Linked DNA regions of Coturnix japonica. The protein of the gene in region 1 interacts with the protein of each later gene in a pairwise test. Links are inferred from orthologs where the notes say so. Each region holds a gene or a part of one and is shown on either strand. Other genes may lie near its edges.

The links.
Region 2: the proteins of SH3YL1 (region 1) and SH3D19 interact in binary tests that used the Homo sapiens proteins (3 or more experiments, as listed by UniProt). The link is inferred for Coturnix japonica from reciprocal best matches to the Homo sapiens genes SH3YL1 and SH3D19.

Annotation. Positions count from the first base shown.
Region 1 is NC_029518.1:83,919,974-83,924,429, reverse strand, and holds the start of SH3YL1 (SH3 domain-containing YSC84-like protein 1), read left to right. Parts: upstream 1-1,583; 5' UTR 1,584-1,638; coding exon 1,639-1,741; intron 1,742-4,456. Other genes in the region: ACP1 (low molecular weight phosphotyrosine protein phosphatase), read right to left, coding at 1,374-1,416.
Region 2 is NC_029519.1:29,300,409-29,304,226, reverse strand, and holds part of SH3D19 (SH3 domain-containing protein 19), read left to right. Parts: coding exon 1-73; intron 74-1,401; coding exon 1,402-1,518; 3' UTR 1,519-3,818. UniProt on the Homo sapiens protein: May play a role in regulating A disintegrin and metalloproteases (ADAMs) in the signaling of EGFR-ligand shedding. May be involved in suppression of Ras-induced cellular transformation and Ras-mediated activation of ELK1.

The DNA.
Region 1 (4,456 bases):
TTCATGTTTAGTAGCTCTTACATCATGTGTCACATACCATTAGGTTTTTTTTTCTTTTAATAAGCTGGGAGATGGAAGAAGAAATTTCAAATATATTTATATGTATTTTAAAAAAAATCAGCATCAGAAATATCAGTCTTTTGTGATTTGTTGATCCTTTCTTCAAATTCAATACCACAGTTCAATCCACACCTAAACTACCTTTCACTAGTAATCCTCAGCTGGAGGAACTTGATACAGTGCAAATCACCATCGTGGATGTAAAGACTCATACACAGATACATGATGAACACCATTGCCTTCCTATTACAAGAGAAAAACGTCCTATCAACCAGTGGTTTTGTAGCAAGACTGTCAAAACACCAAGGACTAACAGGGATCACCTCTCACCATGTCAGACTAAAACAACCAGCAGACAGACAAGGTTAAAACCACATGAGATCAGTGAGGCACACAGCTTGTCATCCCCACCAGGGAGCAGAAGCTTTGAGAATACACCAAACGGAGCACAGCCATACAGTCAGGTTAGCAATCGGCTGGCTGTGGGGGAGCAGAAATAACCACAGAATCACAGAATGACCTGGGTTGGAAGGATCATGTAGTTCCAACCCCCCTGCCTGGCAGGGCCACCAAACATACACCTTTACTAGATCAGGTTGCCCAGGGCCCTGTCCAACCTGGCCTTGAACACCTCCAAGGACGGGGCATCCACAACCTCCCTGGGCAGCCTGTTCCAGGGCCTAACCACTCTCCTAGTGAAGAACTTCCCCCTAACATCCAACCTAAATCTTCCCTCTTGTAACTTAAAACCATTTTCCCGTGTCCTGCTGTTGTCAGCCCTTTCGAAGAGTTTACTCCCCTCCTGGGTGTAAGTTCCCTTCAGGTATTGAAACCTGGAAACCAACCAAACTCTTTCTAATCCTGATTTCTAAGTGAAAACGCTTCCGTTTTCCTAACTTCTCATGAGGTGTAATCCACAACTTAAAAGCACGTGCATTTATTCACTTTAAAAGCGTGCTGCCTTCAGTTCTCCATGTAGGCATCTCTCCAGATGCCGGTCAGGCCCGCACCGCACAACCCCGGGCTGCTCTTCTTCCCCGATCTGCTCGCAGCACTGAGCACACACACAGCTCAATTTCCACACCAACTTCACACTTACCGACACCGCGTTTCACCCCTTATTCCCTACCGATGGTCCCTACCTACAGAGGCAGCGGCGTGCCCGTGGCAAGGGGCGGATGGCACCCGCTCCCAGCCAGGTTCAGCGACCGCTGCAGAGCCACGGCCGGGCGGCACAGGGACGGCATACCCCGCTCTCTGCCTGCTCCCCGGGGCCACCCCACCGGGCTCCTGCTGCCCCTGGTGCTGCTCACCCAGGCACACGAAGAGCACGGACTTTGCTTCCCCCGCCGCCATCTTCGCTCAGCCACGATAGCGCGACGCGGGCCTAATGCGCAGCCGCGCCGCCTGGCTTTACGGCTATAGGCGACCACGGGTTTTGCCTGTTTTAAGAAAACACAGCTGAGTCGAAAAAATAAATATATTAATAATAATAAGATAAATCAATTTTTATTGTTTTTTAAAGTTAAACCCTGAAAAACTACGCGGTGGTGATCACTGCGGGTAGGCAGGCGGTGGATGGCCGTCTCAGCCCCGCCCGCCTCACCTGGCGCAGGTGTGTGCCGCTCCGAGGGGCCGCCCCGGTGCTGGGCAGAGCGGGGCGAAGCCGGGGCCGGCAGCAGTGAGTATCCGTGGGGTCGGTGCCCATAGAGAGCCCATGGGATGGGTGCGGGGTCGGGAGGTGCCGGGTGGCCCTCAGGGTTGTGGCCGTCGATTGGGTGTCGAGGAGTTGGTGGTGTTTTTTGTTACGATTAAAGTGGTGAAGGATTGGAGCTGGCTGTCCAGAGGTGTCATTGTAGGTCTTCTATGTCTGAACTGCTCCCAAAGGTTTGACCTATTAGAGAAGGTACTGGGGAATCAGAATCACGACCTTCCATTATATAAAGGAGGGCTGTAAGAAAGAGGGGGTGAGGCTCTTTAGCAGGCTCTGTTGGGATAGGGCAAGGGGAAATGGTTTCAAACTAAAAGAGAGCAGATTTAGACTGGATGTAAGGAAAAAGAGTTTTACTGTAAGTGGTGAAACACTGGAGCAGGTTGCACAGAGAGGTGGTGGATGCCTTGTCTCTGGACACATCCACAATCAGGATGGACAGGGCTGTGAACAGCCTCACCTGGCTGTCGGTGTCCCCATTCACTGCGGGGGAGTTGGACTAGATTACTTTTATTGGGTCCCTTCTGATGTGAACTATGATTCTGTGCTTATAGGGAACAGAGATATATACAGAAAGGGGAAACAAGGGATAGGATGATCATAGGATGGCCTGGGTTGAAAAGGACCACAATGGTCATCTAGTTTCAACCCTCCTGCTATGTGCAGGGTCACTAGCCACTAGACCAGGCTGCCCAGAGCCAAATCTGGATGCTGTCCAGTTTGACTGTCAGTAGTGCCTTCTGCAGGAAATATCTGGAATGTATATTTTGTTAAGGTACCCAAATATATATATATATTTTTCTCCTGGATTGCTACTGTAACATATGGGGCAGTTGTGCAGTGCACATCCTGGGGGAAGGTGAGGGGCAGCTGTAGGCTACCAGGTGTTTGTTCCCTCTGTTCTTCTGTCCCTGGTGAGAAGTTAAACAGGATGGGGCTTGGGATTTTGTTCTTAAAAGCACAACTTTGTTTTAGTTAAAACTTTGTTGTGTAAAAGTTAGTGTGCTTGCTTAGCACCTTAGATTGCCTTGAAGTTTATTCTTAATTATTTAAAATAGGATTTGCAAAACTAAACTGCTATTCAGTTTAGGCCTTTCCTTTCTAGCATAGTGTGCAAAGTCTTGTGTTTAACATGAAGAGAAAAATGGCAGAGCTGAATTCCTAGCTCTGCTTTAGCTTTGGTTATGCTACTTACCTTGCTTGGTGGGCAGTGCCCAATCCCTCTGGTACTGACTGTTGACACATCAAACGTATTACAATAAGTGTGTTTGAAAGACTTGCAAACAGGGTTTCTGCTAGGCAGTTTCCTAAGGCTTGGATGGCACGGTGGATAAGCGTGGTGACGTTCCGCACAAAAGCCTGTGATTCTTGTTGCATTAATTCTTGGAAGATTTCACTTTTTAGTCTCAGACAGCCCCCAAAGTAACTCTACCTTTGGCACTTTTTGTGTCAGATATATATATATATATATATGTTGTGTCAATATAGCATTCCACTGTCTATATTCTTGAAAATGCAGATTTTTTACTGTCTTTGTATAAACTATCATTTCTTCATCACCTAAAAGGTGAATCTATTCATGTCTTGGGCTGCTTTAGCTTCATTTGAGGACAGTAGAATTGTTTTGTATATGTATGACTGGCCTTTAAGTTGGTGTTTAACACTTGGAACATAATTCTTTTTCTGGCCTTTTTCAGTGCCTGATCCTTCTGGATATTCTAAACTGAAAAGCTTGTTTTTGACTTGGTGTTGTAGTGCTCATGCAATGTCTCCAACTTTAGTGGCTAAAATTGATGATTTATTGATGCTAACTTTGCATGAGTACAACGTGTTCAGTGATGCTAAGAAGGGTGGGTTTTCTACTGTTGACGGATAATTTATTAGCCTCACATCAATCCTAAACTATAGTATTGAGGAATACTACAATGTACACAAGTGTTTTATAGAAGATGATAATTTATACAAACTTATTACTATCCACATACTGTGCATTTTCTTTCTATTCCAATGGTATATCTGTCTGGATGGCATTGCCTCATATTTCACATCTAAGCATTTACTCTGCTAAAACCACGTTATGAAACATAAACTCCCCTAGCAGCTTAGCTTTCTTCTGCTCCTGAGATGAGGAATAGACACCTTGACAGACCTGATGAGCAGTTGTCATGCTAATACATTTTGTTGCTTTTGCTTTCATTTTCCCTCTTGTATTTCTTGTCTGTTTGCCTTGAACGATTATTTGAAACATTAAATCTGTTTTGTTTTTAAAATGTTGGTCCAAGATCATCATGCATCTCAAATCTACAAACTTGAAGTAGCTTACTGTAACTGGTCACCCCATGCTGCGGGGTGACCTCATTGCAGCCTTTCAGTACCTGAAGGGAACTTATTTCCAGGAGGGGAGTAAACTCTTCGAAAGGGCTGATAATAGCAGGACAAGGGGCAATGGATTTAAGTTGAAAGAGGGTCGATTTAGGTTGGATGTTAGGGGGAAGTTCTTTACTAGGAGAGTGGTTAGGCCCTGGAACAGGCTGCCCAGGGAGGTTGTGGATGCCCCGTCCTTGGAGGTGTTCAAGACCAGGTTGGACGGGGCCCTGGGCAACCTGATCTAGTAAATGTGTATGTTTGGTGGCCCTGCCAGGCAGGGGGGTTGGAACTACATGATCCTTGAGGTCCCTTCCAACC
Region 2 (3,818 bases), on another chromosome or scaffold:
AGGAGGGAAGAAAGGGAAAGCTAAAGCTCTCTATGATTTTCATGGTGAAAATGAAGATGAGCTTTCCTTCAAAGTAAGTGGCTCTTATATTTATTTTTTTTTTTAGTTTGTCAGCAGATCTTATGCTCCTAAGGAATGCTTAAAGAAAAAAATTATCCAAAACAAGTTTGGGACATGAAAGTACTCAGATAATAGACGTGATTATTTTAACATATTTGATATAGAGCAACTGTAGAAAGTTTTCATCCCTACCCTTTGTGAAATCTCTACTGAAGGCACAGAGAAGAAGTCAGAAACTGTAGACTTTCACTGACATCCCTAATCCAGTAAGTATGATCAGACCAACTCACCTCATTTCGTAGTACATTCAGTTCCTGATCAGTTAATAATGTCAAAAGAGCCTCTTTTTTGACAGGAAAGACAGCAACATGGTGGTGTGATAATAAAGTGGCAGCATTACAGCAGGGATATCTTTAACAGAGACCTAGTGCAGCAAAATCTAAAAGTCAGTCTAAAAGTTTGGCAGCATGATCCTTAGTTGCTGTGTGAGGAATATGAAGTATTTGCTGTATGTCTAGATAATATGAAAAAGCACAAAGAAATGGAGTCCTTGTAGATTAAAAACCATCACATTTAAGTAAATGTCCTCAAAAGCAAGTTTCTAAGAACCGGCAGACAGTTGCATCGGGTCCAAGATTGCATTTATCAGGTGGAACACGTTACTTTGTGAACTTTAGAAAGAGAAAATAATTAGTTTCTGCATTAGCAGCTTGCCTTATGGGAAGGATGTGGATGATTCTTTAAAACAGAAAAGAGGAACTGAGGTACTGGCAGAAAGGCTAGAGCTATGCCAATACTTTGAATGAAGGGTATGGTATGGGAAGATGAAAGCAGGACTAAGGATTAAACATAGAAGATAAACTTTATTTTCAAGGCCACGCTGAGCTTCAAGTACATTCCTTTTTTGAGAAAGTTTCCAAAGGAAAGAGGGAAGTTTACAAGCTGTGGAAAATACTGGGACTAAACTGAAAGAAAATACTTGAGGTGTTTGAAGAAGAAAAGTCCTCATACCAGAGCAGGAACGTGAACAGTGAGTGAGGCAGCAACCTTTAGGCTACCTCTGTGACACACCTACCTACCTACAGGGCTCAAGCAACTGAGGAAGTTATCCAGCAGCACTATTTTTTCCCTCCCACAAACTGGTGGCTTTTCAACCCTTGGCAAGTATTTACCCTAAGAGACAGTTAGATTTCTTTGAAACTATGTTTACCTGACAGGAGCGATCATCTCCAACTACCATGCTATTTGATTGCTATTAATTGCTTCTGAATAACATGAACAGTGCATGCCATAATATTACATGGAAAGCTGCAATGGCTCACATTACTCCTTCTTTTACAGGCAGGAGATTTTATAACAGAGCTGGAATCTGTAGACGAGGACTGGATGAGTGGAGAGATACAAGGAAGAACTGGGATATTTCCCAAAAACTTTGTTCAGATTTTAACAACTCCATGAAGTGTTGCCTGTCTTTGTACTCCCTGTGTCTGGGAGAGAACGTTTTCAGCAAAGACATCAATGTATTCTGACTATCTATGTTTTGCACTACTTATCCTGGACAGTCTTACTAGTATCTTGAAGTCAAAAAAGATTTTAGTCTTTTGTGACCATGTAGTTAGTCATGCTTCAGGAAAAGCTCTGAGAGCAAAATACATGCGCAATTTTTAGTGGTCTCCAGCTAGGGAAATAGTGTGGTGCAACACCAGTGAAATAGTATTCTGTTTACTATCTGGTATTACATTTATCATGCACAGCCTCTGCATAAAGTAAGCTTATTTGAGCTTCCTTAAGAACTGTTTAAAGTGATGTTTTTAATATATTATTGCAGCAGTCGGTATGTAGATCAAGTTCAATATTCAGGTTTCTTTACTGCTTCTACTTTAGCAGAAGAATTCACTTATGACTTAGATAACTTATAGTAGAAAAATGTCAAATTAAACTGTTAAGAGGGAAAACTCAAGCAAATCCTTGCGTTCTTAGCCCAAGCAGCTCATGAAGAGAAATCAGAAAAGACATAAGTATTTTTCCTCTTAACTAATAGCACTTACTTACACTGGTTTGAACCATGCTAGACCTTTCCGCCCACCTCAAAAATCTGTTCCAGACAGAGCCTTAGTTTTCCTACTACCCCCTTTGTCAAGCACCACCCTACCCTTCTTTCCCAGGAGGAGTTGTGATGGACAGCAGTTACTCAACTTTCTCAGTTCCCCTCCCAGTGTAGCTGTACTATTTCAACTATTTGCCCCTCCACCCCCTTTTATGTAAGTGGAAAGCCTGTCTTCACTCAGTCTACATTTCATTTACCACTCAAGCACTGGAACATACTTCAGTAACGCTATTCCTATCCCTAACTCGAAGGATATTATACAGGCTTGGTTTTGGCTTTCAGCAGGCACAGGGTTAGCTTTCAGGTTGTTAGCACGTACCAGCTATACCAAGCATCATTATAAATGGTCTGTCACAGCCTTAAGGAAAAAAAAATGTCTTGCAATAGGTTACTTCAAAGAAACTCAAACAAAATCATTTAGTAAAAGCAGCAGCTTGACTTGAGCAACAGCATCTGACTGTGACTGAGGTAGCCTGGACCTTCTGGCAGTAAATGCCATTTTGTGACACTTTGTTTCTGACAGAGTTGTTAAATGAGTCTTGATTAGCAGCTAACTTCAGACTGGAGGAGTAAGAAATGTCACTGCAGTGCTGACAATATTCTATCCCTTTTGTACTGTATGGGGAAAAAAGAAGAAACCATGAAGTTGTTACTGCGAGTCATTGCTTCAGAAGCATGGATGCACAGGTACCACAACATAATACAAGATCGTTCTATCTTAAAGTTCTAGTTGATAGAACACTTGCAGCTGAGCAGTTGATGAAGAGTGTGCAAACTAGAATAATCAAGACTTACCTTGAGATAGTTCAGCTTACTTTTGTTTTGGCTTACAGTTCTGTTGGTAGGAGGTCCAACCATTATGGCAACAAGTACCTACTGGTGCAAAAAGATCACACAAAGCTTTAATGAGCTACAAACTGGATTTTTAATTGCGTTATAGGGATTAACTTTATAAAAACCATTACAATGTATGCACTATCCTAGAAAGATGGAAACATCACTGTACAGCTGTTATTCAGTTTAAACATCCCAACAAGCCTGTCCTGAACCGCTGGGGAATTCAACTGAAGTCCACTCCTGAGGACAACTGTCCCTGAGCTCTGCTGCCCGGAGCTGCCCATGGCTCTTTATAGACATTAGCCAGCCCCTGCATTCTATGGGACTCTGGCAAAGCAAATACAAAATATTTCTAACTTTTCAACTTAAACTGTGGGCCACCCTCTTTAAACAGGCTGCTTCCATTATGACCTGTACTGAGAGATCTTGTGGGCTCATGAGGAGAACAACAAAAACCAAACACAACCACTCCAACAAACAGAATACCAGATCTTCAGAAATTACACAATCACTGTGGTGGGAGGAGGAGCTTAAGTGTATAATGTTTACTTATGTTTTGCCTGTTGGTTTTCTAAGGTTTTGATACAAGTCTCCAATTAGAACTGAATTTTTATAATTTTTTTCCTCTCCCACATTTTTATAACTGTACTATTGACCAGTTGTTGTTTTTCTACCTTCCACTGAATGTTTTAAATCAGTGCCTGTCAGTAGGTTAAGTTCACTCTTACATTATTCATCTCCTCCCACTCGCTGGGAAGGAAAAGCAGCAGAGCCTTAAAAGTCTGGGCAAGGAGCGCCACCTATAAGCTGCTCA